Linked DNA regions of Callithrix jacchus. The protein of the gene in region 6 interacts with the protein of the main gene of each other region in a pairwise test. Links are inferred from orthologs where the notes say so. Each region holds a gene or a part of one and is shown on either strand. Other genes may lie near its edges. The genes, in order: LRRFIP2, LNX1, RAD54B, FSBP, RPIA, ATPAF2 and PAK5.

Region 1 (3,401 bases), on a different chromosome or scaffold from region 6:
CAGGTGTGGCACAGGCTGAGTGACCTTGAGTAGAGAGGAAGAGGGGTTTTCTGAGCTTTAAGAGCTGGGTCACACAGTATGTTGCTTCTAGCGGGGATGGAGTTCTAGAATAAACCTGCACTTTAGAACACCTTTCCACCCACCCCCCAACCACACAATGTTGCTACTATTAGAAAAGGTATAGGCCAGGGCACGGTGGCTCACACCTGTATCCTAGCACTTTGGGAGGCAAATCCCTTGCTGTCAGGAGTTTGACCAGCCTGGACAACATGGCAAAACCCTGTCTCTACTGGAAGTACGACAATTAGTGGGCTTGGTGGTGCACACCTGTAGTCCCAGCTACTCAGGAGGCTGAGGCAGGAGAATCGCTTGAACCCGGTAGGTGGAGGCTGCAGTGAGCCAAGATTGTGCCACTGTACTCCAGCCTGGGTGACTGAGTAAGACTCTGTCTCAAAAGAAAAAATGTATACGAAAATCATCTGAATTCCGGAAATTGGTATCTGTATTTTTTAAATGAAGGGCTAAAGAAGGAACAAATATTAGAAATTTCATTCACTTTTGAGTTACCTTTTGAAAGTCTAGTTTTATTATCTCATGTGCCTTTAGTTACTAGATTTTCCCCAATATGTTTTCTGTGTAAACACTTTTTAAAGATAAATTAATAATTTCAATGAAACCACCTGGGTACTGAGAGCAAAAGAGAATCATAAATCCTGCAAAACAGTTGCACTCCATGGCTTAAAAAACCCTCTTGGACAGGGCACCTCTAAAGATGAAACTAAAGTCTTTAAAGTTCTACATTCCAGATTATTTTTCCTTGAGAAGGAGACAAAAGAAGACAGATGTGGTTGCCATGATTTGTTTTGAACTCTCCTGTAACAAAACGAACATGTCAGTAGCCAACTGTGGTTGGCAGAAGGGTATATTTAATAGAATCTTAAGGCAGATTTCTGACCTGCCCGCACTGCCCTCCCCTCCCCCTTTGGGTTTGTTTGAGGTTTCATTCCACACATAAGCAGCAGATAAAATACTTTACCAGGTACAGCACAGTTGTATTGAAGAATAAAGGACCTGACTCTTACTTTAAGAGTGTTAGGCCTGGACTTCCCCTGCCCCATGCAATAACGCAAGTTTTATATACACTCCCCATATTTTTTCCTAACATTTTCTTATATAAATTTAAATATTTTACAAAAAAAGGCTTTTTTCCTCCAGACATATAAATTTGAGTGAAACACAGATTTCTCACCCAAGAACTTGTTTCTTCACCAAAATATAAATGTTGTCTGATATTAAGGGTATATGTCTTTTGACCACTGGAGATCACTGTAGTCTGAATTGCACCGTGGAGAAGGCACTTGTGTTTTCTGAGGTCTCCAGCAAGTATTATCTCAGTGAGCACTCACAGAAATGCTGTCTGTCCTCCAAAACCCGTGCCAAGGCCTCCGAGTGCCCAGTTACTGAGGCAGCTGGGGGAAGATGTTAAGTAAACATGATTCTACAATTATGGAGATAAAAAATAAAAACAGCATGGACTGGTTCTTAGTCTAGAATCAAACTACAACAACATCCGAAGTGTTCATTCACGAAGATTCAAACTGGCTTCATTCGCTCATAAATTATAAAATACAAAGGTGGCTGTTTTAACGACAAAACTCAAAACAGTACTAAAAGGGGTTTGTGTCAATGGACAAAAGTCAGTCCCTCTAGGTAGGGGCCCAGGGAGCAGCACCCAGGTCAAAGGGTGGTCTTCCTACTGCTGGGCCAGAAGTGCGGTCCTATTGGCCTTCATCTTCTCCAGCCGCTTGGCCAGGTGGCTGTTGGTCATCTCCATCTCCTCAATCTTGTCCAGTGCTGTTCGTAACTGGAGACAGGGAGAGTGCAGTCACTACATGTGGTCAGAAACAACGTCCAGTGCTACTTTATTTTCAACTTCTGGAAAATGAAAGCACTGCTATTGGGATGGCCTTGTGCAGGACCCACAGCCTCATTTTTTCTGTCAGGTAGAGGTATTAAATGATGATACTGAGGATTCTTTATTCGCTTTAATCACAGAAAGGATGAAATTGGAGAAATAATCCTGATCTGAAGCAAAAACAAAAACTGTCTTTTTACTTACTATCTAACTGACCAAAACATAAAAGGAGACGGCAGTCAGTATGCAGGTCAGAAACCAACACAAATTAGTAAGTAACTCAACTGCTGTTTCCTTAAGCATCACATTTCTTACACAGCTAAGAAATTTATTTCCAAAAGATATTTTTAGGAATGTATTTTCCAAGAAGCCTGTGAAGTACCTCTCGTTGTAGCTTCCTTTTTTCTGCTTTCAGTTCATCTTCAACCTTCTCAGCATTCTCAGCAGCAGTTTTGTATCTCATAACCTGTCCCTCAAGCCGGCTAATCTGTAAGTGTAAGAACACAGGCCTCTAGCACTGGGCACTAGAAGTCACCGCTTTTTGGTAGCCAAGATGGAAATACAATGTTATAAATGCCAAGTAATCTAACACTAACAAGTCCCCTAAGGGAGAGTCATAGGTCCTCTCAGAACTCATTGCTATTTATAAATCAAGAAATGTCCCCAGAGAGGATTACAGCTGTAGAGTCATTTTAGGGCCAATTTCCCATGCTAAGTTTTATGATGACCATAGTATTTAAGTCCCAAAGAGACTCACTAAATGGAAAAGTTCTTAGACTTTCTGGAATGTATACTAAGGGATTTTGTTGCAAATGATGATCTTGAATTCTCTTGAAATAGCTACAAAAACCAGTGATAGCTATAGTTTCCTATGTTCTAAGAGAAAACAGAAGGCTAAAATGCCCCACCAAGTGCTCTCTGCTGGCTTTTCTATTTGAATACAGAACTTTAATGGATCCAACTGCAAAGCATCCCGAGGCAACCCAGGCACTCCTGGGCTGTCAGCCACTTAGATGCAGGAAGGACATTTCCATCACCTGGTACTGTATACAAGTACTTACACTTTGCTCCAAGGTGGTTATATCTTGTTCTGCTTTTGAAAGCTTAAATTTGTATTCGTTAATTTGTCTGTTGGCATCTCCTAGAACAGAAGATAACAATGAATTATCTTCACCTGTCAGAGATGGACAGTATGAGCCATCAGAAAGTGCCTTTGCAGCACCGAGAGGACCATACAGTATTATGATTAGAAAATACAAATGCACACACAACAACCACAGCATCTTCAGCAGCCCATGTTCTGGACGGTATATATTACAAGATGCTCTAGCACATACGATACTACAGTATAACTTGCAACAAGAGTTAGAAGAAAATTCATTCTTCACCCTATGATGTGTGTGAGCAGAGCTTCCCTGCCACTTCAGCAGCAGCCCCTGCCAACCTTATGTGGAGCCTGTGGAGCCTCCATGGCCATGGGACTGGG
Region 2 (4,644 bases), on a different chromosome or scaffold from region 6:
CCTAGGTCACAGAACCAGGATTTGAGCTTGGGAAGTCTGGCTCCAGAGCTCTTGTCCTAAAGTCTAAAATCCAACACCACCAGCTCACCTTCACAGCCTGCGCCTGCCTGGACGCTCCTCCTCTTGCCTCTGGTACTGTACCAGCCATCCTGAGGTAGCTCCTGAAATTTTCCACCCATTACACTCTTTCACCTTTCATGCACACCACTCCCTTTACCCCCGCTTCTAGCCAGTCTTTACCTTGTTAATCTCTGCCCATTTAGGATTCCCTTTTGGCATCTCTTCTGTGCCCACCCAGTCTGGGCTAGGTGCCCTCCCCTGGCAGGTTGTGTAGGCTCTCATTGCACTTGTCCACATGGAATTGAAATTTATTGCTTATTTGCTTCCCACAGTGGACTGGGAGTTCCTTGAGGGTAGCAATCAAGATTTAAATCTCTATGTCCCACCCTAGCCAAGCACCTCATACCTCGTAAGCGCTTTGTATCTGTTGTTGAGTAAAATGAATAATGGAGAACCTTGACAAGGACTTGGCAGAGAAGAAAAAGGAGAATTAACTGCCCCAGTAGTGGTTTTTACCCTGGAAATGTTGTTACTACCCTGAGCAGATAGTGAGCAGCTCACATCCATATAGATGAGCAGACCAAGTGGAATAGAATGAATGGCATAAGCCTGACTTCTTTAGGCCTGATGCTGAGGACATGTGCCCTGCCTATACGAAGGAGAAAGCTCTGTTCCCCATCAAAGACAGTGACAACACAGGTACATACACACATGCACAGCGCAGGTCACAGTCTTTAAAAATATTACACGTGGCTGAGCAAAGTAGGCACCTGTGCGGGGTGTGGAGGACATATCGTAGCTCCAGAATTCCAGGAGCCAGCTCAGGGAGGCCCAGAACAAAGCATCAGGGCCTAAGCAGGGTGCGGAGGGCATCTGAATGGGGCAGGGGACACTGGTCATGATGGCAGTTGGTGATATTTGGGGGACCGAACAAATAAACAAATAATATATTAAGGATAATGGGAGCCAGCCTCTGATCAATGTTAATGACGGCAGTTACAAATTCAGAAAGGGAGAAAACTCTGTGGTGTTGGAAGTGTGAATTTATGGTTTTCAATACATATGGATTAATATAGAAATAAATAGATACATAAATAGAGGAGGAAGCTGGGAATCAGAATTAGACCTGTCTAGCTCTTTTCACCATTCTTTACTAAGGCCCTACACATAGGCCCTCTGCTGTGAAACCTCTGCCCCCTTCGCTGTCCCCTAGAACCCCAACTGGAACTCACATAGACTTAGAAGATTCCACCCCCATAGTCTCAGAGCATGCATCACACCACATGGCACTAGTTGCACACAACTAACTCATGAGGTTTTGGTTACATGGAGGGTAGGCCTCCTCTTATCTGTATTCCCTGCATCTCCCTTGGAACCAGGCACATGGCCATCACGATAGTTAGTATTAATATTTACTGTGCACTTATTATGCATCAGCAAAGACTTCACATGCATAATCTCATTTACAGCTGAAGACAACCCTATGAGGGACATATTACCATCATTCCCATTTCACATATTGGCAAGGTGAGGTTAGAGGGGTTAACCGAGGTACGCCAAGATGTAGAGCTAGTGAGAGGTAGAACCAAGAGTCAAGGCCAGACGGTCTAATTCCTCAGACTGTGCTCCTCACCCCTCAGCTCTGCCACCATGGACTAGGTGTAAGTAAATGGTCACTCAACAGATTCCTCCCAGGGACTTGTGTTTCTAAACACTCTCCCTCAATCCAAGTCCACACTTTATGCTGAGCTCGTTTGAAGCTCACCTCTTTAGGGGAGCTCCCCATCCTGGTCTGAACTGCTGCCTCAGTTCTCCTTGGGCACAGGGCTTGCATCGCACCCTGACATATGACCCAGTCAGTGTTGGAGCAGGGAACATAGTTTGTCGACATTTGTTGAACTGAATTCAATGCCCAGGAATGGAAGTAAACAGGGATACATGACAAAGTGGTATATTGTACAGGATACTGTGGTTATCTATTTCTGGATTTTCCAGAAGAGTTCAATTTCTAAAATTCCATCCTCTCATCAGACCATTTGTCAGAATACATGGCCAAGAATGTAGTCTGGAATTTTGTTTAAAGAGTAAGGTCGCCATTCTATAGAAGAGAGGCGGGAGTGGGCACAGGGTGTGCTGCCGGGCACCCCAGCCCGACACACCCGTGGGCAGGTCACAGCTCTCTGAACCTCTTTATCTGTAGGTAAAACTGCAGTGCAATACCTACTCCTACTGCGGAGTGAAATGAAGTCTGTGTGTGATGTGTTTTAAATACTGATGAAGAATAATGTCATGTAAATCCAGTTACTGCTAGTGGGATTCCTCACGGTTTCACTGACCTGTCTGGCAAGTCATTTTCATCTGTGAAAGTAAAGAAGCTTTTAATGAAGACCACTGCAGGAAAATAGGTATAAAGAGAGCAAATGTCCTGAGGTCTTTCTAGTGTTTTGAAAAAGACACCCCTGGATATTTTCCATCTTTTAGACTCTCTTCAATTTGATGCGTGTGTGTGTGTGTGTGTGTGTGTGTGTGTGTGAGAGAGAGAGAGAGAGAGAGAGAGAGAGAGAGAGAGAGAGAGAGAGAGAAAGAGAGAGAGAGAGACAGAGAGAGGGGAGAGTTGGAGGCCGAGTGGGCAGAGGTGGAGTTGTTTTAAAAAACTGCATGAGATTCTAGCTGGTGGAGGGACAAGGCTATCTTACCTTTGCTGTATGAGGTCTCCCAGCTGTGTGAGGTCTCAGGAGATAGTTCTTTTGAGAGCTGAGCTTTTCTGGCTTAGCAGTAGCTCAGAAAACTTTTCTTTCTCTTTCCAGTGTTCTGTGCCCCAGCTGTGTATAAAAACTGCTCCGCCTTTTTCCATGCAGGGGTTAACCAGGGCATCTCCTGCCCCTTCTGCAAGGCTTTGGGTAGAAGAGATCCATAAATCTGACAGCAGCTATGGGGAGATTCAAGGAAGAGCAGTCTCCCGCAGAGCAGCATGCATTACCATCAGTGACAAATCTGTCTGGTTTGGATGGGGCTGAGACACCCCTGAACTTCCTTCTGCTCTTGCCAAAAGTCAAGATCCTTTTGTTCACCTTTAGGGTTGCCAAGTCAGGCCTACCTCTCCCCTAGATGTTGTTTCCTGCGGGCAATGGGAAAATGATCTTGGAGCCAGAGAAGGGAAATCAACAAGGAAATAAACACAGGGTCACCACACCTTCAGGCCATCAGTAGGTCTGGAACATTATCATGCTGGGACCAACTCCTTAATAGGCAGGGGCTGCTGACTGGACAGGCCCTAGAATCCTGGGCATCTTTTATTTTTCAATAAGTAAAGGGGCATGCACCAAAATCAGTATCAGGCAAATAAGTAGTTCTGACTTGTTCTAATACCTTGCCAAAACTTTCAAAGATTTTCCATAGGCAGTATTGCTCATAACTGAACATTGCCTAATGTTTGTAGACAAAAAAAAAGGAATGGGCATGTTTGTGGCTGATACTATTTAAGACTTTTAACTCCAAAGATATAGAATTATTGTTTAAATAAGTATTTCTTCTGCTCATTCTTCAGCATCATCACCATCATCACCATCGTCAGCGGCTGCAACATCTTTGCTAACATTTATTAAGTGCTTACTGTCTACCAGATTCTATAGTAATCACCCGACCTGCATTATTTCATTTAATTCTCAACAGAATCCTATCATTATCACTCCCATTATACAGATAAAGAAACTGAGGATTAGAGAGACTAAGTCATTCCTGCAGAGTGACCCAGCTAATTAAAAATGTAAACATTGTGATTCCAGAAGTGGGCTTTTCTGAGCTTTGCTTTTCCCACCAGTTGACCTAAGCACTAATGTGGGCTGACAGCTCCAGTAAGGACCAAAGATTTTGCTTAAATAAGTGATTAGCTCTGGGTATCAGATTCTAAATAGAAACATAAATAATTAGTGAGTTAAGTAGTCTCCTTCCAGAGATGTGAGTCGAGTCCTTGGTGTTACCTTATGTATATGCATCATGCAAGAAGGACACAGAGAGTTCAGGTACTTGTGGCCCCGTAATCACAGGTGGTGCTACTGGCTGCAGTGCCTTCAGCTCTCCACTGTGACTCTGATTTACAAACAAGGAAGTGCTCTGCAAGTCCCTTGGCCTCTGTGTGCATTTCGGTCATGGCCTGATTGCTACTTTGTCCTTTTGACTTTCAGAGTCAAACTGCTGCAAGTTTCTTTTAATCAATAATCCAGGGAATGAAGGAGGCAAAATGACCAGCCTGGAAACTTCTGCCTGGTGAGATGAAGCCAGCACATGTATTTTTGGTCCTAAGGTCACACTTCTCACTCATATTTACTCTACCCCTAATCTTTACTTTCAATTTGGCTCTACTCCTAACCTTTCCTTTGAAAGAGAGCTAGCAGTTAGCTCTTTTGTGTCATGGCAGTTACCCAGGGCAGCTGGCATCTGGTTCAAGGATGGTAAAACAGTTAGTTAGGAGACAAAAGGATGCCCTCCAGTGGGGCCCAAGCTGTCTGCTTTTATAAACGTAAGAGCTGTGACATCAGGGCAGCTGCACATACTTGTTGCCCTTGGATTTGTTTGGTGACACTT
Region 3 (4,457 bases), on a different chromosome or scaffold from region 6:
CTGGCCAACATGGTGAAACCTCATCTCTACCTAAAATATAAAAATCTAAGGCCTTGAGCGGTGGCTCATGCCTGTAATCCCAGCACTATGGAAGGCCGAGGCGGGCGGATCAACTGAGGTCGGGAGTTTGAGACCAGCCTGATCAACACAGAGAAACCCCATCTCTTCTAAAAATAAAAAATTAGCTGGGTGTGGTGGCACATGCCTGTGATCCCAGCTACTCGGGAGGCTAAGGAAGGATAATCGCTTGAACCCAGGAGGTAGAGTTGTGGTGAGCTGAGATCGCGCCATCCTGCACTATACCCTGGGTAACAAGAGCGAAACTCTGTCTAAAAAAAAAAAAAAAAAAGCCAGGTGTGGCAGTACACACCTGTAATTGCAGCTACTTGGGAGGCTGAAGCATGAGAATCACTTGAACCCAGGAGGCAGAGGTTGCAGTGAGCAGAGATTGTGCTATCACATTCCAGCCTGGGCAACAGAGCGAGACTGTCTCAGAAAAATAAATAAATAAAAATAATCATGCTAGTATTACTTACAGTGGGGGGGAGAAAAGGAAACAAGTATGTCCATAATGAAGTATTAGATAAATTTTGGTACAGCCACACAACTGAACACATTCTCTTCATATACCACCAAAACTGAGTCAGTACTGTTCCCCATGCTAGCCAGGTTCTGTTTTTCTCTAGGCTTTGAATAAACTTTCCCTTATACTAAGTTGGGAATGCTTTTTCCCACTTTTCTTTGCCTGATTAATACTACAGTCCTTTAGGGGTCTTAACCATGAGCCCTCTTCATCTCTTTCCAAAGACTGGACTGGAGGACCTTCCTGTATATGTACTACTTAAGTACTTTTCACACTGCAATGAAATTTGCCCTATCATTCTCCCTGAGTTATTAACTCAGGCATGAAATCTCATGTACAATTCATCACTATATTGCCAGTACCAAATACACAGAAGGAGTTCAGTATTTGTTACGTGAATGATCCCATTAATAGGGAGGACCACAATTTTTAAAAATGTTTAATGACATAAGAAATATTTTTGATAAAGGAAAAATGGCCACAAAACATGTTTGGCCTCATTCCAACTTTTAAAAAGGAAAAGAAAAAGGATAACGTGTTTATGTACATTTAAAAGACTAGAATGCAAAGGAGCATGAGGAAACTTGTTTGAGGTGATAGAATAATCTATATAAGATTGCAGTGTGGATAAGGGAGTGTATATACAGCTGTATATCAAAACATCAAAATGTACATATCTAGTAGCACACTGTAAATTACACTGCTATAAAGTAGATATGTTATATATTAAAATACACAATCATTTTTAAAATCCAGAAAAATACATGCCACAACATTAACCCTAATTATTTCTAAGTCTGGTTAGAATAACCAGTAATTTTTAATGTCTTCTGAGTTATTTTCTGTATATCTCAAATTTTTTACAATGAAAATGTTACCTTTGTAACAGGGAAAGTGTCATTAATTCGATCTTTTTAATTACCATATTTCATCAGATCTAAAATGCCATCAACTGTAGGATATACTCTTGATTGTCAGTCCATATAAAAGACATTTTTTAAATAAAAATGTTAAAAATGAATTTTTTATTGTAAGATGTACCATTATTTTACCTATCCAAGAAAAAAGGTGTAGCCAATTAAATCATGATACACTATCACTGATGGTTAGACATTTCCCAATTTCATCAATGTTAAAATGATGAAACATGTAAATATTTTATACATAACCAGCCTTTGCGTCGTTTGAGAAATGAGTAGTAGAGATCACTCTCTCTTGTTTCTTGTTCAAGGACAAGAACCAGCAACAGACTCTGCTGTTTCTGCTTTTCGACCTCCAACTACATTAGGTAGCCATTATTTCACGTCATGCCTTAAGTTGCTCCTTTGACTTTGAGACTCAGGCTATACAGGTGGTTCCCAATTTAGGATGGTTTCACTTAGAATTCTTCGACTTTTAAGAAAGCCATAAGCATTCAGTAAAAGCTGCACAAGGAACCACACAACCGTCTGTGTTCATGATTTTGCCCAACTGTAGATTCAGGTAAGTGTTCTGAGCATGTTTAAGCTAGGCTAGCGCAGCCATAAAAAGGAATGTGGGTGCAGCTAGAAGCTATTATCCTAAGCGAATTAAAGGAGGAAGAGAAAATCAAATATTGCATGTTCTCACTTATAAATGAGAGCTAAATTCATGAACATAAAAGATGGCAACAAGAGACAGTGGAGACAACCAGAGAGGGGAGGAAATGAGGAGAAAGGGTTCAAAAACTATCGGGTATTACGCTCAGTACCTGGGTGACAGGATCAATCGTACCCAAACCTCAGTATCAGGTAATACACCGATGCAACAAACCTGCACATGTACCCCCAAATCTAAAATAAAAAGTTGAAATTATTTTTTTTTTATAACAAAGGTAGGCTAGCAGTTTTAAATACATTTTCGACTTAGGATATTTTCAACTTAGGATGGGTTTATCGGGAGGTCACCCCGTAGTAATTCGAGAAGCATCTGTACCTACCTAGAAAATCTTTCATAAGGTAATTGATTAAAAGGTTTTAATAAAATAAAAGAAAAACCTGACCAGTGAAGAAATAAAAAGTCCCTAAAGAAGGCGTACGGACAATCTCCAGGGCGCTCGCGGAGCATTCACCCCCTGGCCCTGGGAAGGAGCTTCCCAGTGCAGGAGTGAGAGAGAAACCAAAACGCCACAGGAGCCCCAAACGCCACAGGAGCCTGAGCGAAACGACTGCAGGGGCAACCCCAGGGGCCTCTACCCAGAACCACCCCTCGCACACAAAGGCACACCCCCAAACTCCCACAGTCCGCCAGTCGCTCCGGGACTCCCCGGGACCAGCAGCCCGGGCGTCCCTCGCACCAGACCAAAGCGGCAGGCCTGCAGGCCACCTCGGTCGCTCCTGCCGCCTTCCCTACCTCCTCTCTTAGAGGCCTGCTCCCGCACCACTCGCTGCTTTGTCCCGCACGAGCCTACAGGCCGTCACAGCCTCCCAAGCTTCCCTGTCCAGAACGCACCGGCGAAAATCTGACAGAAACCACTGACCCTGCAAAACATAAACTTCTGGCAACCAGCGAACCCCTCGCCGCCGGAGAAGCTCAAGGCTCCCGCCTCGGCGCAGCCAATCGCGGACGAGCCCACTGCGCGTGCGCACTACTAGCAGCTGCGTCGCCGCGTCCAGCCTTACTCCGATTGGACAACCTTACTGCAACACTGCGCATGTACCTTTGCGTTTCCCTTTGCTTGCTCCCAAGTTTGATTTTAGTCTACGGTTCAGTTAAAAAATACTGGTTTAGTGCCTATTGTCAGACACGGTGTACAGGCTGAGGCTACAGACCTCACCATCTGCGTGGACAAGTAATAAATAAGGTATGATTCGGTGTGTGCGATAATAGAAATGCGTGCATCGCAGAGGTACAGGTTATCCTACTGGTTATTCATGTATCCGAAAAAGCATTGATTTACTGTTGCCTGCAGGATATTTTTCAAACTCTTTGTTAGGTTCTGGAAATATAGAAATGAATACGTGATTACTAGGCCCTCAGAAAAGGGGAGCAGCCTCCGGATTTAGAAAAGCATTAAAGTTACGTAGGAAAGTGACATCATTCAATTAGTATTTACTGAGCAACTTCAAGTGCTAGGAGATGACACAGTCAACTTCCAAGTGCGAGGAGATGACACAGTCAAAATGGTGTTAGAAAGACTAATCTGAGAGAGAATGGTTAAAGGTTGTTTATTGAGTTTTATCCAACAGTTTGACAAGTAAAAGCTAAAAAATATCAAGTGTTAAATGAAGATGTGAAACAATGGAAACTTGGGCTGCTGGTAGGAGTATAAATAGGTATAGCCATTTAAAAGTGTAATTTAAGGCTGGGCGCGGTGGCTCACGCCTGTAATCCCATTACTTTGGGAGGCTAAGTGGGCGGATCACTTGAGGTTAGGAGTTCGAGACCATCTTGGCCAACATGGTGAAACCCTTTCTCTACTAAAAATATAAAAATTAGCTGGGTGTGGTGGCGGGCGACTGTAATCCCAGCCACTCAGGAGGCTAAAGCGGGAGAATAGCTCGAACCCGGGAGATAGAGGTTGCAGTGAGCCAAGATGGCGCCACTGCACTTCAGCCTGTGTGGCAGAGCGAGACCCTGTCTCAATTAAAAAAAAAAAAAAAACAGTAATGTGCTTATGGAGCTTTTATCCTGGAGACTTTTTCCAGTAATAAAGAGCACCTCATACGTTGAGTTGTGTTTTTAGCAGCTCCTGGAGCCAGGGTTACAAGAATTTGAATTGGGGGCCTGCCAAGGTTGGGCACCCTAGTAAACTGCACCTCCCTCTTCTTTGAACTGGGACAGATAAAGAGTAAGGGTAACCAGAAAAAATGCTAGCTCTCATAGTGTCTACAGCCTACCTTAATGTAATCGGGGA
Region 4 (4,758 bases), on a different chromosome or scaffold from region 6:
CATTAAATTGCCAGAAATATCAGATATTTATCTAAGAGACAAAATGAAACACATATATAGTATATAATGAAAAATCTATCGGTAGATTACATAAATTCATTTTTGTTCTTGTCCCTATTTGTGTTATTTTATGATTTCCAAAAGCAAAACAATTAATTATAAATGTAATTCAAAGTAGCAAAATCTGCTTCTATTATTAATAGCTCTGCTAAAACCTACAATGGGAAAAGGTTAAAACTGCATATGAAAAGGAAGTTTTTAAAACCACCTAATTACTATTTCAAATTAGCATGTACAATAGACTATAAACATAGACATTATACTCTCAAGTAAATTAAAAACATGCCTTATATCTGGAACATTCCATTTCAGCTAACACATTACAACTAAGGCATAACAATGTAAAAAAGGAGGAAAGAAAACTTTAGAGCAGGTCACAGAAATGACAGAGAAGAACTTGAGAATCAGAACTTTGAAGATCAGTTTACAAAAACACAAAATATAAACTGATATTAGGGAAAGGTAAAAATAAAGACATAAGGCAATGTGACTTACAGAAATAAATAGCCTTACAAAACAGGTATATGTTTTTAAGTATGTCAATGCAAACACTAGTATTTTCCTTATTAAAAAGGGAGAGTTTGGTAAGATTAACAGGCATATTTATATAGAAGTATAGTCAAGATTATAGAATAATTTTAAACTTCTGAGATTAAGATTCAAGGACCATGTCAAAAAAATATAAGCACATTAAAGAAATAAGCTAATATGGAGAAAATGTCAATGCAGACACACTAACATAAGAATTTAAGAGGCATGTTTCTTACATTCTTCCCTTTAAAATCTAAGAAATTGGTATTATTTAAGCCATAGGTATAGAAATACACAAATCAACTCATTTTTATCACAGAAATATTGATGTTCCAAAATATTTTGTTTGTGTGTGTGTGTGTGTGTGTGTGTGAATATTGTATACATACACACAAAAATGGTCAAAATGTAACCAAATACTTGTATATTTATATACTCACTGTAATTCTCTTCTATACTCACTGTATTTTTTAAATATGCAACTAATTAAAATTAGTTTCTCCATGTATTTTCAAATTATAAAAATTTATACCTACTAGCCAAAAGGTACAGTTTTATACCTGCAGTGCAAAAAACACTTTTCTCTATGGTTCAAGGGAGAGAAAATAAACATAAGCAGCACAGCATAAAACAATTTTACTGTGTAGCTTTCTGGATATCCAGCTATTGGGATTTCATCATTTGTCATCACAGTGAACATTTTAAGCAGTGGCCCCAAGAATTAATCCACTGTGTATTCATGTCCTGGATTCCCACTGGTGATATTTTTTACTGTGCTATCAAGTAGAAATAAGCTACTGCTTATTATCTGGTAAGAAGCTTGGCTCAAAAATACTTTCCTAGTAAATTACCAAAATAATATATACACTTGGCTACAAAGTGTTTTTTTCTGTTTCTCTCCTAATTTCAAAGGAATTTCACAATAATCAATAATTTGCTTATATAATGCCTCTCCCACCAACAGAAAAGCACATTGTGTAAAGCTTTGTTTGAAAGCCCCCTCAAACTAACAAGGAGTTTACAATTTGTTTAAATTATCCTGAATGGTTCAGAATAAGAATGTAGCTGCCATTTTTATATTTTGCCAGAGGTTACAATCCAAATTAGTGGCAAGATAATAGTTTTGAAAATTCCAAGGCAAATAGTTACATAGAACACAAGTTTAACCAAAAAATTGCTTCTAACTCTAAAAAAACCCAGTTGCTCTTAGGAGTATTTTAAAATTCATAATTTGATATCCTTGCAAAACAGTAAGAGAAAGCTTACTCTTTCCTATATGACCCAAGATCAAAGTGAAACTAGACCATTAAGGAATAAAAAGAACAAAAACTTTAAATTTTATTAAGTAAACTGAATACCTAATTAGGCATTAACTCCCTTTAGTTGCGTTCATCTTTATTTTAAATGTGTTAGAAAAATAATTTAAACTGTCTTTATATATACAATCATGCCATTAACAAGTTTACTTATTGATTTTAGTTCTATTTGTTAGTTAATGCATATTCAATAAGTGTAGACAATGACAATTCATAAAAAAGCAAAGGTTCCATTTCTCTAGAAACTGCTAACCTTATATAAATATTATATAAAATTAAAAATTCCAGTGAAATGTAATCTTAAATTTAAAAAAAAGTATCTCTCAGAAGCAAATTAAATAATTTAATTTTAAAGCTTAAAAAGTTTATGAAGTGATGTCACAAATTTCATCCCACTTACTCCTCCCTAACCTTTACTTTTAGAAACTACAGGGGGGATGAGGGAGGGGAAGACAGTTAAAAAGTAGCTTAAATGCAACAGAAAAATTCCTTATAGCCTCACTTTTCTCTTTTTAAAAAATGCAAAACAAAGACACTATTCATTGCTCCCGTTGTGGGGATGCTTACTATGCATATCTCTGTCACAACTAAGCCAAAGCCCAATGGATAGGAGGCGCCATAATTTTCCATAACAAAATAAAATAAAGCTTACCTTTGTATGTGGTTCCTGTCTCTTACCAGGCAAAAACTGGAAATCTGGGGAATCATCTCCATAACTTTCTTGGTTGGCTCAGAAATATTGCTTTTAAAATCTGATTGGGTCTCTTTTTGCTGCAATAGCTCCTGTTTGGCATATTCTTTGAGCCTTTTGTAAAGGGTGCGTAGGCCTTGTGCTGTTCGAGGAGGGCGATCTACTCCAATTGCATTATAGTTAACTGCTATGATATCCCAACATCTATTCTTTTCCACTATTACTGAATGTTTATTAGTGTGTTCTTCGAGAATTTTCACATATGGCTTCACAAGCTTTAGCAAATCAAGCTTTTCAGATAAGGTAAAATTGGAAGATCTAGCCTTTCCTACCATTGTTCTTTTCAAATTAAGTAGGCAGTTTCCGAAACCACCATGCAGCCTTCAGCTCTGCTCAGCTCTTTTCACAAACAGAAAAAGATCAGGCTTAACTAGGCTAGCCTCATTTAGGCCCACGCCTACAGGGGAGGGTTTATTAAAATTCCTCCAGCTTAAGCTGACGCAGGTTCAGGAAATCTGCTTAAGCCAAGCCTGACCTACATAAAGCTTCTCACTGAAGAAGACAGGAAGGCACAAGCAAAACACACTTGTGTATAAAGGGAACAGCTCGAGACAGGATTTAATACACAAAGGTCTAGAGATAAGCATGGAACACAGCTAAAAATTAGCTAATTTAGTGAGAATATCAAATTTCACACATGTATGCCTAGCTGACAGACTGAACTGCATTGCAGTATCACTTTAATAAAAACAAAAGAGGAACAGTTTTGTGCTATTTATTTACAAATCCAGTAGACAGAAAACCAAAAGATATGAGTAGTGAATGTAGTAATTCCTAACAGAGCCTCTCATCACTGTTTCTGAGCTGAGTGTTCTCCCTTACAAAATCTGCATAATGCTGGACCTGCTGTCAATCAGGAATTGCATATCCACTAGCTAGTTAGGTTACACCCAGACCCAGACTCCACAGTAAAGCTAAGCTTCTCCTTCATTTTACAGTCTACATTAGCCTCTGCATATTTTTTTCAGTTAAGAAGAAATTTTTCCAGAACACCCAATCTAAAAAGCAGGTAAAAATCATATTTTTAAAGCAATGGATTATTCTAGCTGTAATGTATGTGAATATGCTAGCCTGCCTTATCATGTGTAAAAAATCACTATTCATGGTGAGAAACAGTATAATCACGCCTTAAGACTCCACACACGAAATCGAATTTGCTATTATAACAGAGCCAGATTTTTTATTTAGCTATATTCACACAGTTTGGACTATGAAAGGAAACAGCTAGTCTCGTCATTTTCAAGGCCACCAGTTTCAGTGCTTAGAATATCTTTGTTAACCCCAGTATGAAAATACATGATACATAATAATGTAAGTAAGACAAGCCTATTTTTCTCACAATATATATGTTTTTTCCAGATAGGGGAATAAATCAGAACATATTTGAACATAGTTCTATCCAATCAAACTATTACTGAACAACTGTGATAGTATTAAAAGGTGGGGAAATAAATTTTTTAATTACTGACCACGTATAAAAATGCTCCCAGGCACTGTGTAAGAAATCAAGTCAATCTAGATACAGCACCTATCCAGGGAACTGTAGTTCTACAGAAATGCTATAAATTCTCAATTATCTTGTTTTTCATTCTTTTAACAATGGAGAAGCAAATTAAATTGAGCTCTCACCTTGAGCCAGATACTGTGTTAGAAGCTTTAAATGTATCATCTTTCAGAAAACCAGTGAAAGACTGCTGGATGTCCTGTGGAACGCTAGGTGTTGTCTGGTATACCCCACTGAGTAATTTGATTCTATAATAGTTCTTTCCTTTCATTGTCTTTGAGCAGTTTTACAGCTCTGTAAATTGTAGAAATCAGCAATGCAAATGATTCTTGTCCATAGAGATGCAAAAAGAAAATTGACCTGCCCCAACAACTGGACCACAGGTACTCAAAATCATACTAGCATTTCTAGCATTTTCTGAGCTTTCACAACATTAAAAGAGAACCAAAGAAAGAACACAAGGTATGTATTTTATTTAATTATTTTGTTATTTTCTGAAGAAATACAAGTATTACGTTAAGATGAATAAAATACTACTAAAATATGAAAAATGTTCAATCTCATTAGCTATCAAGGAAATGTATACTAAAAATGAT
Region 5 (4,011 bases), on a different chromosome or scaffold from region 6:
GGCAGTGGCTTTTTTTTTCTTTCAAATAAAAACATTTGTATGGTTTCTTCAATCCACGTCCATATATAGCTTTAAAAATAAACACCAATGTAATTTATTAGGAAATAAAAATACTTGATGATCAAGTCAGTCAGAAACCTTGAGTATTTCGCTTTTCAAAAGCGAAAAATCCACCACAAGCCACCAAGGCCTTAAAAGTGTCTTCTCAAGACAGCAGGATTTTAAAAAAAGCAGCAATAAAAAAACACTTAAGGTATTCCTTTCAGTCCCCTGGATGACCATCCAGCTTGTTTAGGGTCTCCGAGAGATTTAACATCAAGGAAGCTCCAACAGTATGCACTCTCCTGACTCCCTAACCTGTCTACCTGGAATCTCTGCCTTACTCCCTACCATTAAGCTGATGCCATGTCTGTTTTAGAAGGAATCTTAACCTCCCTCCCTTCACCAGAGCTGGTTGCAGGCTGCCAGCATTCTGTGCCTCCAGGATTGGGAGGGTTCCAAGCCTAAGTCCATAAAGTCCCAGGAGTACCAGTCACTTATAAATCTCACCTCCTACCCCAGGGCGTATTATCATCTTGACTAATCTAATGAGAGATTATACGCATACTCCTCCCTGCAATGGCCAGACGTAGGATGAGAGTTGGCTCCATCTGAGCAACTGTCTTCCCTTCCACTTCCCAAAGCCTGCTCTTTCTTTCTCTATATTTAACTAGCTCCACTGCTTTCCTCCATCATTTCCTCCTATTTTATGATGTGCTTGCATTACTAACACATTGCTTAATTCCTTTTAGCCTGTTTTGTCTTTTTTTTCTTGAGACAGGGTCTCACTCTGTCATCCAGGCTGGAGTACACTGGCACAATCACAGCTCACTGCAGCCTCGACCTCCTGATCTCAAGAGAAATCCTTCCACCTCAGCATCCCACATAGCTGGAACTACAGGTACAAGCCACCATACCCAGCTAATTTTTTTATTTTTCACAGAGGCAGTGTTTCACCATATTGCCCTGGCTGGTCTTGAACTCCTGGGCTCAAGTGATCTGCCCATCTTGGCATCCCAAAGTACTGGGTTTACAGGCATGAGCCACCATACCTGGCCTAGCCTGATTTTTTTCACCTATAAATAGGAATAATATTCCTTGAAGATAGAGACCACCTGGCCATCTCTGCCTACTCTGTAGTGCCTAAACTCAACATGCATGGAAATATTCATTGAGTAAATAAACAAATGCACCTAAAACTACAATTCTAAGATGAAATCTTTGGTCAATAAACTCTCCCATTCCTGGACTCTCTGACCTAGAACAACCTTGAGATACAAGACAAGGCCATGTGTCCACAACCTCAAGGAACCAGAAGATAGAGCAGAAGCTGTCACAATGCAGATGGAAAGCAGGACATACCTGGAAGGAAGTGGGAATACAGACGAGGTTCAGATTCTCTTGCTTCACCCTTTCAGCTGTGGAAACAAAAGACATATTGAGAGTTTTTCACTCTCCTCACTTTATTTTTCTTGTCATGTGTTTACTCAAATCCAACAGGTAAGGGAAGGTCTATCTTCCACTGTCAGCTGCCTTTCTATTGGGGCGAGTCACGCTAGCTGTCTCAAGCCCTTGGCGCGAACACCGCACACCTTTCATTCTGTGTCCCCCTCCTTGGTGGAAAAGCTGGTGACTGTACTTCACACATCAGAAGACAGGGACACACGGAAGTCTGGAGAGGTAAGTACTGACCACAGAAAGCAATGTCAGTGTTTGCTATTGTTATGTGCCTGGCAATATTCTAAGAACTTTGTATGTATGAGCTCTTAATCCTAACAACCCAAAACTTAAGTTAAATTACTCTCCCCATTTGGCAGATAATGCAACTGAGGCTCAGAGAGGTAATGTAACTCGGTAGTTATACCATTAATAAATGGCACAGCTGGACTATGATCCCAGGCCATCTAGCCACACAGTCTTAACTCCCCTTTATTGTCTCTTCTAGGAAAATGCTAGAACTTTATTTTCACATTTTAGTAAAGAACATACTTATTTGTAGGCCCTAGAGGGTAGCTAAAGGAGACTTATTTTTTCATTTTGGATTTGTAACTTTCAGGAAAGTCTGATTTTTAAAAAAACGATTTCAGGAAAAAAACTTTTATTAAAATGTCAAGTCTTTTAAATCACTGAGTGCATCTTGGGAGGTTTGGGTGCCACTATTATAAAATTCATAGTAACTCCTGTGCCCTGAAAGTATTCTCCAGATACTTGGTTAAGATTGAAAGATATACAACACAAATGCTCCCATTTGGCCAATAAGGCTTCTAGAAGCCATCACACCAGCAGTAAAACCACACTCCTTGATGACAAAGTGTTCCTGGACTTTGCCTCCTGGGCCTTGCCCCTTGGCACCTAGAAGAATTCAGCATTCAGGCAGGCCTCTCCTCTGGGCTTTGTTCTTACAAACAAAGAGCAGGGCAGTAAAACCTGTTGAGCAGCCATAGGGGCTGATAATTCCTGAGCCTTTCCTAAGCATAGACACACCCTAATTGGTGTGAAATGAGCACCTGCAGGGACTAGGCATCAGGTGCAGGAGCCCCGCATCCATTCCAGGGTCATAGACAAGGCAAAACCACTGTGACCTCAATTATTTGCCTGAGGAAGTCTGAGACCACACACAGGACTTGACAGTAGAATGCCATTGACATGATTAAAATTATATCAGGACCTCAAGTCAGCTCTTCCCCTCCAGCTGAGCGGAGTAAACAAAGGCAAGGGCATCCTTTAGAGTTGGCTGAAGAGCCCCAAGTTTCCCTCTCTCCACAAAAGAGCAGAAACACTCAACTGACCTCAGGTAGTCCCATCTCTCCAGTTCTGCACAGCTGAAGCCAAAAGGACAATGCCACTTCCTCCCTCTCCTCTACCTCCCTACCCCATCATCATACACAAAACATCCAGCAAACAGTGCAAGAACATACCTATTCGCTGCACAGCATGGACAATTGTAGAACCACTTCCAATTCCCAGCACTTGATTATTCTGCCAAAAAGGGGGGAGAAAAAACAAAACTTATCAATACCATATTTTATTCCCTTGTCAGCCCACTTCCTAAAGCTATACAATTATTCTGAATAGCAATTCAGCAACACAGATGCAAGACAGGTACTGTGCCTATTTTACAGGAACATAAACACTGAACCTCAATGCTGTACTTTAGCCAATGCATGGCGGACAAATGATCAACAAGAACCTCCTCCCTTCATTTCTGACACTGTCAACACCACCACTTCCTCCCTACATTCTACCAAATAATTGGTGCAATTACTTGCAATTGAATAGCAACTTACGTAACCCTCACAGAAATGGCCTGCACATAAACACTTAAGGATTCCTGATCTTTCAAGCCAGCAACAGTGAGTTTTGAAAAGAAAAAAAAAAAAGAAAAGATTCCTGGCCAACCCCAAGGAGGTAATTAGAAAGAAAACACCTAAGAAAAACAACAGAGCATGGAGCCTGGGTAAGAGAGGAAAGCTAAGGTTTCTGGTTTCAGTGCCTTCCACAGGCACCTTCAAGTTGGTAGCACAAGACACATCAGGTCCACCATCTAGAGCTCTCCCAAAATCAGCAGATAAAGGGAGGGACTGAAGTAACTTCAAAATAATAAAGCATGTCAGCATCTGCCTAGGTGACACCAAGGGTGCTCATTTTGCATGAGCCTGCCTTAGAGAAAATGGGAAGAGAGCAAAGGCTTAGTTAAGAACATGAAAAATAGTCTTCATCTGCAATAGGAAGGATCTGTAATCGATGCAGCGCAATTCCTCAGTACAAAGTATAAGAAACAGACATCGCAATACTGAGCCTACCACCTTAAGAAATAGGGAAGGTACCTACAAACAGACCAAGGACAAAGTAGGAGCTCAGCTGAATCTACTAGACCACAAAGAGCAAAAAACAAGGCCAGGGGTACTAACAGGAACTAACATAGAGCTCAGTGCCTAAGCAACTTCCTGACATCTATCTCCTGTCAGTACA
Region 6 (4,486 bases):
TCCTTCAGGCGAAATGTTACACATTTAGCAAACCTTTTCTGTAAAGAATCAGACAGTAAATATTCTAAGCTTTGCAGGTCATACAATATCTGTTCCAACTATTCAACTCTCCACTGTAGTGAAAGCAGCCATAGATGATATGTAAACGAATGTATGTGGCTGTGTTCCAATAAAACTTCGTTTACAAAAACAGGTGGCAGGCTGGACCCTGATCTACAGACCACACAATCTTCCTCAATCCACACCACTATCCTATGAGGACGACAAGGCAGTTAGCTAATGCCTCGGAGGTGAGAGAGAACCTAACGTCTTCTCTAGATGACAACTAGTAAATAGCAGAGACAAGACTTCTAGCCTTGACTTCATTAGGCAGTTGCATTCACTCAGATATGCTGATTAGATAGGTTTCTCCAGAACACCTCCCAGTCTGGGAAGTCAATAGACCTCTGACAAGCTGGTGCAGAACTGAACTGCCACAACCACTCACATAGGTCTTCTTGTTGTAGTATCTCCTTCTCCAACACCTCAGTGACCCTTTCCTAAACTCTTCTTCTCCTTCTGATGATCTTCAATGGCATGGCCATTCCTAAGCAGCCAAGTTCAATCAGCTTGCTAACTGAAGTGTTTATTGAGAAGAACCTACTTGGGTTTAATCTTCTACTACAAACACACATAAATATCTCACAACTGGTAAGGTCTTTGTAGAGCACACACGGACCTGATTTATGCACCTTCCTCTTCATTCATTCATTCACTCCTATTTTCTTTCACATTTGACTACCTATCATGTGCCAGGTACTTCCAAGAGCCTAAACTAGTAAGTTTGCAGTGGAAAGGAAAACAAAACAGTAGGATCAAGTGCCATCATTATATAAAGACAGCATCCACGAATCTAAATTAACCCTTTGTGGTCAAACGTGGTAACCCACCCACGCCTGTAATCCCAGCACTTTGGGAGGCCAAGGTGGGAGGATCACCTGGGTCAGGAGTTTATGACCAGTCTGGCCAACATGGTGAAACCCCGTCTCTACTAAAAATACAAAATTAGCTGGGCGTGGTAGCGGATGTCTGTAATCCCAACTACTCCAGAGGCTGAGGCAGGAGAATTGCTTGAACTGGGGAGGCAGAGGTTGCAGTGGGCTGAGATTGCACCACTGCACTCCAGCAGGGGAGACAAGAGCAAAATTTCATCTCAAAATAAATAAATATATACATAAAGTAATTAATTAACCCTTTGCTTTTTCCAACTTGGTGAACTCCTGAATGTGTCCCCTTTGCTATGGACTCCCTGGGATGTCCTTTCTTCTTCTTTATTGGCCCTTCCCCCAAGTCCTACAGGAGAAACTTCAGCACCCTTCTGCATCCAGCCACCTTCCCCATTTCTATAAAGTTATAGAATCTGACAGCCAGAAAGACCCTCAAAGGCAACATCGTACTTCAACTCACAGAGAAAAATGAGGAAGTAGTTACATGCCCAAGATCACACAGACCTCAGAGGTTCAGCCAGCATCAGATCCTAGATTTCCACTTCTGCCACAAGGCCAAAACTGCTTGTGAAATTCTGGATTTTCTAAAGCAGGCAGTGTTAGGGAAAAGTCCCTCACACCTTGCTGTCACCCCTGGACATGTTCTAGATACCCAACAGTCTTCCACCTCCTTGCTGAACTCCTACTCATCTATCACTGTTCAGTTTAAATGGCCTTTCACCCAAGACTTGTTCTAGACTCTGAACATCCCTAAGATGGGAGTAGGTGATTCTCCGTGTCCTCACAGCTTCTTTGTATGTCCCTTATCAGGATATTATAAACCATAGTTTAATCAGGATATTATAACCTTTTTCACTGAACAGTCAACATCATTCAGGTGGGCCTTTTCTTCTTTAATTGAGCTTCTCTACCAATACATACAGGTGGGTCTTAAAGACTACTGCGCCTCCTGCCCCCAGCACAATAAAAGTAATTGAATGGTGGCGGGAGGGTGTTACTGCTCTTCCTTCACTGAAATGAGTCATTTGCCCTCTCACCCTAACACCACTCACTATCAGCAACAAAAGAGCCACAACTTCTAAGCTTCATCAGAGTTGGAGGTGGAGGTGATTCCAAAATCAGAGATGGAGGTGTCAATTTCTATTTAGGAGAGAGAGAAGGCTGCAGATGGCAGGGGTTGCACAGGATGGAAAGTCAGGAAACCTGCAGCTAAAGTGCCCGGGATGGAGGACTGATTGAACTTGGCCCTTCTGTGCAGGTCTTATGTTGGGCAGTGGAGACATAGAAAGCAGTCAGACTCCAGAAACCCGAGTCTGCTCTGTAACCTAGGCGAAGTTCTGATTCAGGGCCCAAACCTCCCCTTTGGAAAACAAAGATGACACTTGCTTTCCTCATTAAAGAGAGGGCAGCCATAAGCTTTGAGAAAAGCTGCCCAGGCCAAATATCAATTAATGTCTCGTGCAGGACGCGCTGTTCCCCCTCGGGTCGTCTGCCTTTGTTTGGGCTTCTCTTTCTCGTCTGTAAAAGGACCCGACTGGCCTGCATAACCTCATGAGCCTGAACCCTGCCTCAGTCACACCGCCCTGCACAGCAGAAGTCCGAATTCCACCTTACCCCCAGCTCGGCCCTTCATGGCCTCACCTGTCGGCGGGGCGTAAGCCCGGGCTGGAGACAGGATGGTTAGCCCCGGACTCTTAGAAGCGCTGGGGCCACCCGCAGGCCGATTCAGGAGGCGGCGTCCCCCGTCCCGCAGCCGGTGACAGCTCCTCCACATCGCGCCCGATAGTCTGGGAGGATGCGCAGCGTGAAACCTAGAGCAGGAAACGGAGCGAAGGGACCTCCAAAGCCGCACGATCGGGCTGTACGGAAACCTCTCACCGCCCCCTCAGAGCCCGCAGCCTCCCCTGGATGCCGCCATCTTCCACATGACACCAACGGCGTGCCGTCGCCGCCGCACGCCTCCTGCGCACACCCCCAGTCAATTAGCATCACAAACGCGCCTCGCTCCGCCCCCTCCACGCCGCGCCTCAGCGAGAAGACCACAAGTCCCAGCGGGCCGCTCGCGCACCCCACCACGTGCTTTCTCCTCCCGCCAATGGGTGGAAGCGCCGTGTAAACCTGTTCCCGCCCTCACCGGCTCGCCCGAGCCAATCGGAAGGGGCGGGGTGTGTGTTTGTGCGTGCGCGCGCGTGCGTGTGTGTGTGTGTCTGTGTGTGTGTGTGTGTGTCTGTGTGTGTGTATGTGTGCGCGAGGGCAAGTCGGGAGGGGGACCCAGCTCAGGACTGGGAGGCCCTGCTCTCAGGTCCCTGGGTCGCGGTGGCGGCCGAAGCGCTTAGTTTGCATACAGCGGACGGGTGGTCGCCCCTCCCGCCCCCACCCTGCGCGTGCGCGCCTCGGCCTCTCCCTCCCAGCCACCCTCCTTGGCTCCCGCGCGGCGGCGGCGGTTCCTCTCCCACTCCCCCCAGCCCTGGCTCCGGGGGACCCCGCGATGCCGGTCCGCACCGAGTGTCCCCCGCCAGCCGGTGCCTCGGCTGCCTCCGCGGCCTCACTCATCCCGCCGCCGCCCATCAACACCCAGCAGCCCGGCGTGGCCACCAGCCTGCTCTACAGCGGCTCCAAGTTCCGCGGCCACCAGAAGAGCAAGGGGAACTCGTACGACGTAGAGGTGGTGCTGCAGGTGAGCGCCGGGCCGGGCCGGGGCCCGAGGGCCTCCTCGCGGCGCTCACGGGCCGTGCCCGTCTCGGCTCCTCGAGCCGGCAGCCGCGGAGCAGGCCCTCGTCGCCGGGGCCTCCTGCACCCGGCGCTTCCCACCCGGGACCTGCCCAGCCTGTGCCTCACACTCTCCGAGCCCCAGCCCTGACCTGCCCCCTCAGATCCAGAGCCCGTCAAGACCCGCTTCTGGCGGACCCCGAACACTCTCCCAGACTTGAAGCCGGTGACCGGCCGGTCCGGGATCCGGAAGCCCCCATGACTCGGGGAAGGCCCGGGTCCTCCCTCCTCATGACCTGCCGTCCCTACATCAGGGACTGCCACGAGCCCTTTTCAGACCCTGAAGAACTCTCCATTGGTTTCACCAGACTCTGGACACTCCCCGTGTCTGGGCCCATGTCAGATTCAGAACTGAGTCCTGCCCTCCCGCCTCTTCCTCAGTCCCAGGAATCCGCAGACCCTGGGGGCTTCCTCTTCCTGAGATCTCCTTAGGAGGGCTTCATCAGACCCCTCAGACGGGGGAACACCAAACGCACCACTGATTGGTCAGGCCCTGGCCCCACCTCAAGACCAGACACTCACTCCCTGAGTGCTGCTCACAGTCTGCTGGGATCTTGCCTCCTGGGTCCCCTGTTCCACTCGCTGCTTCCCTCTCTTCATGCTCCAGGCACCCAGCCCCTTCCAGCTGCTCCACCTCCCAGCCTCCTGCCCCTGCTCTGGGACCACTTGCAGTCTTCTAATCTTCCTGGCATCTGTCCAGATTCCCCACCCCATATCTTCGTCTTGCTCGA
Region 7 (4,011 bases), about 52 Mb from region 6:
TCTTGACAAAGGTAGAGCTGGAGACCTGAGCTATGTGAAGCTCTGGAAGGTTAAGAAAAAAGCTTCTCCCCTGAACACATTTTTATTTTTTGCTTTTTATGAGAAAAGCAAAAACTGTATATCACATTTGCCTTATTCTTATATCTTTCCAGTATATTTGTTTCTAACAATTAAGATGATCTTATGTGGTTTTTTTGTTGGGCATGTCTTATTGCTACACCAGCAAGAGTTTTCCAGCTGAATTGCTGGTGATAAATGTTCAGTGTCTTCACTCACGACCCTTTATTGTGAGATGGTCTACTCCAGACTGAGAACTGTAGAGCCACAAGAAATCTCATTTTAGTGGAGAAAAAGCAGCATGTTCTATCCCTCATGGAGTTTTCCCGTGCTTTCCTGTTACCTTGCTTTCCACATATTATATACCTGGATCCACTTTTGATTCAGGTGCCATTTCAATAACACCAGCTAACACTCAATACCCCTTCATCATGACAACTCTTACTTTAACTTTTTGGCATTTTATTTATGATGAAGACCAAGGTTAAAGTTTCCCAAATGTAACATGCTATTTTATATGTCTATTCCACAGAACCTTGCTTCTCTAAGTATGGTTCATGAACCAGCAGCATTGGCATTGCCTGGGAGTTTGCTATAAATGGAATCTTAACCCCTCTCTAGTGAGTCAGGATATGCATTTTGATAAGATCCACAATGATGTATGTGGACACTGGAATTGAAGAGGCACTGTCCTAGCACATATTCTCTTCTCTGCCTTCAATGTCCTTTTCCTCCCACTTGCCTTCTTAGTAAACTCCTATTCATCTCTTGAAATCCATCTCAGATGTCACCTTATATTAAACAGAAATCTTTCTTGACTCTAATAGAGACAGTAAGATATTCTTCTATGCTGCACATATATATCTTCCTAATTTTGCACTGATATTATCATGTATTTCTCATTAGCGATGTCCCTGAGGGGATGTATCCGAGCCATGTTCATTTTTATCTTCTGCATCTCCAGCACTTGCAAAAGAGCCTGGCACATAAAAGGTGCTCAATAAATATTTAACAAAATGGTTAGACCTGGCACATCAGGGAGGCAAATAGCAGAAGCAATAGGCTGGTAATTAACCACTGTTACTTGCAAGAATATTTTAAAACAGACTTGAAGAATTTCTCTATGCCATGTAGATTCATTATTCTGATACAAAACTTCGACTGATACTCTCCCTGCTCCTTCCTTTGCCCGGTATCCTTGGTGATCTTAGCACGCAGCAGCAGTAGGGTAACTTGGGAGAATGAAATTAGGCTTTAGAAATCTATGTAGGTGATGGGAAAATCTATTATTTGCCACCAAAGCTTCATTCTTAGCAGGTTGCTTATTTTAAATCAATGGGTATTAATGCCCTTGTGAGGACAGGAGAACATTAACCAAATGAATGAACTGTACATGCCTGATAGCATAATGGGCCTTCTGGGGAATGTGGGGTAAAGGGTAGTCATATTCCCTGACTCCAAAGTGCCCACAATTTAGAAAGAGTTCATAGTCCCTGAAGCTTTATCCTGGAGAAGAATAAGAAGCATTATCTGGAATAATCCTGGAGAATAATGATAAGAATTATCTGGATAATAAAGAAGCTTACCTGGTGTGAGTCACGATGTCTGTCAAGGCACCACCTTCTAGAAACTCCATGACCACCCAGAGCTCATCACCAACAAGGTAGCTGTTGTACATGTCAACCACATTGTCATGGTGGTAATCCCGCATGATCACGACCTGGATGAATGGGAAAGATACTTTTGACTTGTGAAGATGAAGTTGCTTTTTGTTCTCTTGTGGACACACCTACAACTGTAAGTAAATTGATTGAGAGGTGCTGATTGTGGGGAATTTTATTCAGAAATATATGACAGACAAAAAGCATCAAGGGTAGCTAGTAGAAATAAAAGGAATTAAGGTAGCAAATTTGAGAGAAAATGACAGGTCCCCCAGACATTGGAGAGACAGAGAGAGTAATGAAAGCAGGCAGAACAAAAGCAAGATCTGCATTCAGAAGAGGGAGTTTCGTTGTCTGTCAGCAAGGATATGATCAGATATCCCTAAGGGTCTCCTTTAGAATGTGCTGTTCGCAATCTTCTGCTGGTTATCCTAGCAAAGGGTCACCAACTCATAGTAAGTGAGGGAATGAGTCTCATAAGTGAATGAAGTAAGCTATTGTTAAAACTGGAGCCACACAAGACCAACTTAAATTCTCCTTAGAAGAAGGTATGGGTTGAACCTGAGAGATATTTGGGCTGAATTCAAAGAATATATATTGAAGATAAATATGGCATACACATAAAAAAGGCTAAGGAGCCTGCTTGCTGGAGAGAGCTTCCAGAAATTGCTGCCCTGTGGCTGTTTTCACTGGAGTTTTCAGAGTTAGTGTTAATAATAAATTACAGAATTGTTTATCCACCTCATATTGCTCTGTGTGTTCTGGCATTGTGGTTTGAAAAATAAATTCCAGAAGTCAGGAATAGTGGACTGGGAAGATGCTGAAGCCCACTCACCTGGAACTCTGTGAGATTTGGAGCATGTGTGAGAAATAAGCACCCATGGGAGCTGGAGATGTGTGGAGGCCACTGGGGGCTTCACATGAGCCTCCGTGAAAAACAGAGTTCAGAATTGCAGCTGAGTGCATTCGCACAGTGCCTGTTTATGGATTAAATACCTTCTGCCTACTTCTCAAAGAATAGGAGTGCTTACAATAGAAAGACAAAGAGGTCAAGCAGCTGTAGATTGTTCTGGGAGTCAGAAGGTGGATTGCGCACCCTGTCCTGGAGACTGACATCTAACACTGATATCCTGACTTGATATCTTTAGGGCTTAGAGCTCTCATCCACAAACATATATCTTTCCCCACAATGCTCTTATAAAATTACTTAAAGAATATTACTGCAAAATACTTGATGTGTTTTCTAACATAATTTCTCATGTTTCCCTTCCTATTTTAGATTTCTTAAATGATAAGTTTAAAAGGTAAATGAGAAAGTGGAAGGTAGTGGCCGGGGGTGGCTCACACCTGTAATCCCAGCACTTTGGGAGGCCGAGGCGGGTGGATCACGAGGTCAAGAGATCAAGACCATCTGGGCAACATGGTGAAACCCCGTCTCTACTAAAAGTACAAAAAATTAGCTGGGCATGGTGGCACATGCCTGTAATCCCAGCTACTAAGGAGGCTGAGGCAGGAGAATTGACTGAACCCAGGAGGCGGAGGTTGCGGTGAGCCGAGATCGCGCCATTGCACTCCAGCCTGGGTAACAGGAGCAAAACTCCGTCTCAAAAAAAAAAAAAAAAAAAAAAAAGAAAGTGGAAGGTAAATGTTAAAGTACAACCAATAGACCGAGAAGGGTTGATTCCTTAACATATCAATAGCTCTTAACGCATCTGTAAAACAAATGCTAGCACCCCAGCTGAAAACTGTACACCGAACACACGATTCGGTGGAGAAATAAAAATGGCCTAAACTTACATAAAATTCAATTTAACCACACTAGTAATAAAAGTGCTAATGAAAACTGTAAGGTTTATTCATGTCTAGCGGATGAACAGAGATAACATGACAATATAAATGGTGCTTCTGAAGGTGAAAAGTATTGTTGGTGAGAGTCTAGATTGATACGAACTTTCTGGAAATTAACAGTGTATACCACTTCTCTAAAAAAAATTACATGTCATTTGATGTGTTCATTCCACTTCTAGAAATCGAAGAAAATAATCAGATGTGAAGCCAAAGACATATGTGTAACAACACTCACTGCAAAACAATAAAACTGACAAATTGGAAACAATATAAATTAGATACTAGTTTTAAATATAATACATATATATGATAGAATATTATTAAGCCATTAAAATTGTGTTTTGGCATGTAGTTAATAGAATATGTTAATATATTTTATATTATGTTAATAAAAAGTAATATATGCCTATATGTTTTATTAGATGTTAATAAAATAAAATGTTAG

The links.
Region 1: the proteins of ATPAF2 (region 6) and LRRFIP2 interact in binary tests that used the Homo sapiens proteins (3 or more experiments, as listed by UniProt). The two-hybrid records come from large-scale screens. The link is inferred for Callithrix jacchus from reciprocal best matches to the Homo sapiens genes ATPAF2 and LRRFIP2.
Region 2: the proteins of ATPAF2 (region 6) and LNX1 interact in binary tests that used the Homo sapiens proteins (3 or more experiments, as listed by UniProt). The two-hybrid records come from large-scale screens. The link is inferred for Callithrix jacchus from reciprocal best matches to the Homo sapiens genes ATPAF2 and LNX1.
Region 3: the proteins of ATPAF2 (region 6) and RAD54B interact in a two-hybrid assay, tested with the Homo sapiens proteins (2 studies listed by BioGRID). The two-hybrid records come from large-scale screens. The link is inferred for Callithrix jacchus from reciprocal best matches to the Homo sapiens genes ATPAF2 and RAD54B.
Region 4: the proteins of ATPAF2 (region 6) and FSBP interact in binary tests that used the Homo sapiens proteins (3 or more experiments, as listed by UniProt). The two-hybrid records come from large-scale screens. The link is inferred for Callithrix jacchus from reciprocal best matches to the Homo sapiens genes ATPAF2 and FSBP.
Region 5: the proteins of ATPAF2 (region 6) and RPIA interact in binary tests that used the Homo sapiens proteins (3 or more experiments, as listed by UniProt). The two-hybrid records come from large-scale screens. The link is inferred for Callithrix jacchus from reciprocal best matches to the Homo sapiens genes ATPAF2 and RPIA.
Region 7: the proteins of ATPAF2 (region 6) and PAK5 interact in binary tests that used the Homo sapiens proteins (3 or more experiments, as listed by UniProt). The two-hybrid records come from large-scale screens. The link is inferred for Callithrix jacchus from reciprocal best matches to the Homo sapiens genes ATPAF2 and PAK5.

Annotation. Positions count from the first base shown.
Region 1 is NC_133518.1:74,952,237-74,955,637, forward strand, and holds the end of LRRFIP2 (leucine-rich repeat flightless-interacting protein 2), read right to left. Parts: intron 3,057-3,401; coding exon 2,977-3,056; intron 2,403-2,976; coding exon 2,298-2,402; intron 1,865-2,297; coding exon 1,754-1,864; 3' UTR 564-1,753; downstream 1-563. UniProt on the Homo sapiens protein: May function as activator of the canonical Wnt signaling pathway, in association with DVL3, upstream of CTNNB1/beta-catenin.
Region 2 is NC_133504.1:143,048,180-143,052,823, reverse strand, and holds the start of LNX1 (E3 ubiquitin-protein ligase LNX), read right to left. Parts: upstream 3,061-4,644; 5' UTR 2,757-3,060; intron 1-2,756.
Region 3 is NC_133517.1:32,725,022-32,729,478, reverse strand, and holds the start of RAD54B (DNA repair and recombination protein RAD54B), read right to left. Parts: upstream 3,169-4,457; 5' UTR 3,053-3,168; exon of another isoform or gene 2,954-3,052; intron 1-2,953. UniProt on the Homo sapiens protein: Involved in DNA repair and mitotic recombination. May play an active role in recombination processes in concert with other members of the RAD52 epistasis group.
Region 4 is NC_133517.1:32,762,227-32,766,984, reverse strand, and holds the start of FSBP (fibrinogen silencer-binding protein), read right to left. Parts: upstream 3,010-4,758; 5' UTR 2,934-3,009; coding exon 2,560-2,933; intron 1-2,559. UniProt on the Homo sapiens protein: Transcriptional repressor that down-regulates the expression of the fibrinogen gamma chain. Represses transcription of GSK3B gene promoter via its interaction with APBA1.
Region 5 is NC_133515.1:25,424,394-25,428,404, forward strand, and holds part of RPIA (ribose-5-phosphate isomerase), read right to left. Parts: intron 3,019-4,011; coding exon 2,958-3,018; intron 1,458-2,957; coding exon 1,402-1,457; intron 1-1,401. UniProt on the Homo sapiens protein: Catalyzes the reversible conversion of ribose-5-phosphate to ribulose 5-phosphate and participates in the first step of the non-oxidative branch of the pentose phosphate pathway.
Region 6 is NC_133506.1:69,116,654-69,121,139, reverse strand, and holds the start of ATPAF2 (ATP synthase mitochondrial F1 complex assembly factor 2), read right to left. Parts: upstream 2,917-4,486; 5' UTR 2,761-2,916; coding exon 2,628-2,760; intron 1-2,627. Other genes in the region: GID4 (glucose-induced degradation protein 4 homolog), read left to right, coding at 3,226-3,663. UniProt on the Homo sapiens protein: Plays a role in the assembly of the F1 component of the mitochondrial ATP synthase (ATPase).
Region 7 is NC_133506.1:16,737,956-16,741,966, forward strand, and holds part of PAK5 (serine/threonine-protein kinase PAK 5), read right to left. Parts: intron 1,778-4,011; coding exon 1,644-1,777; intron 1-1,643.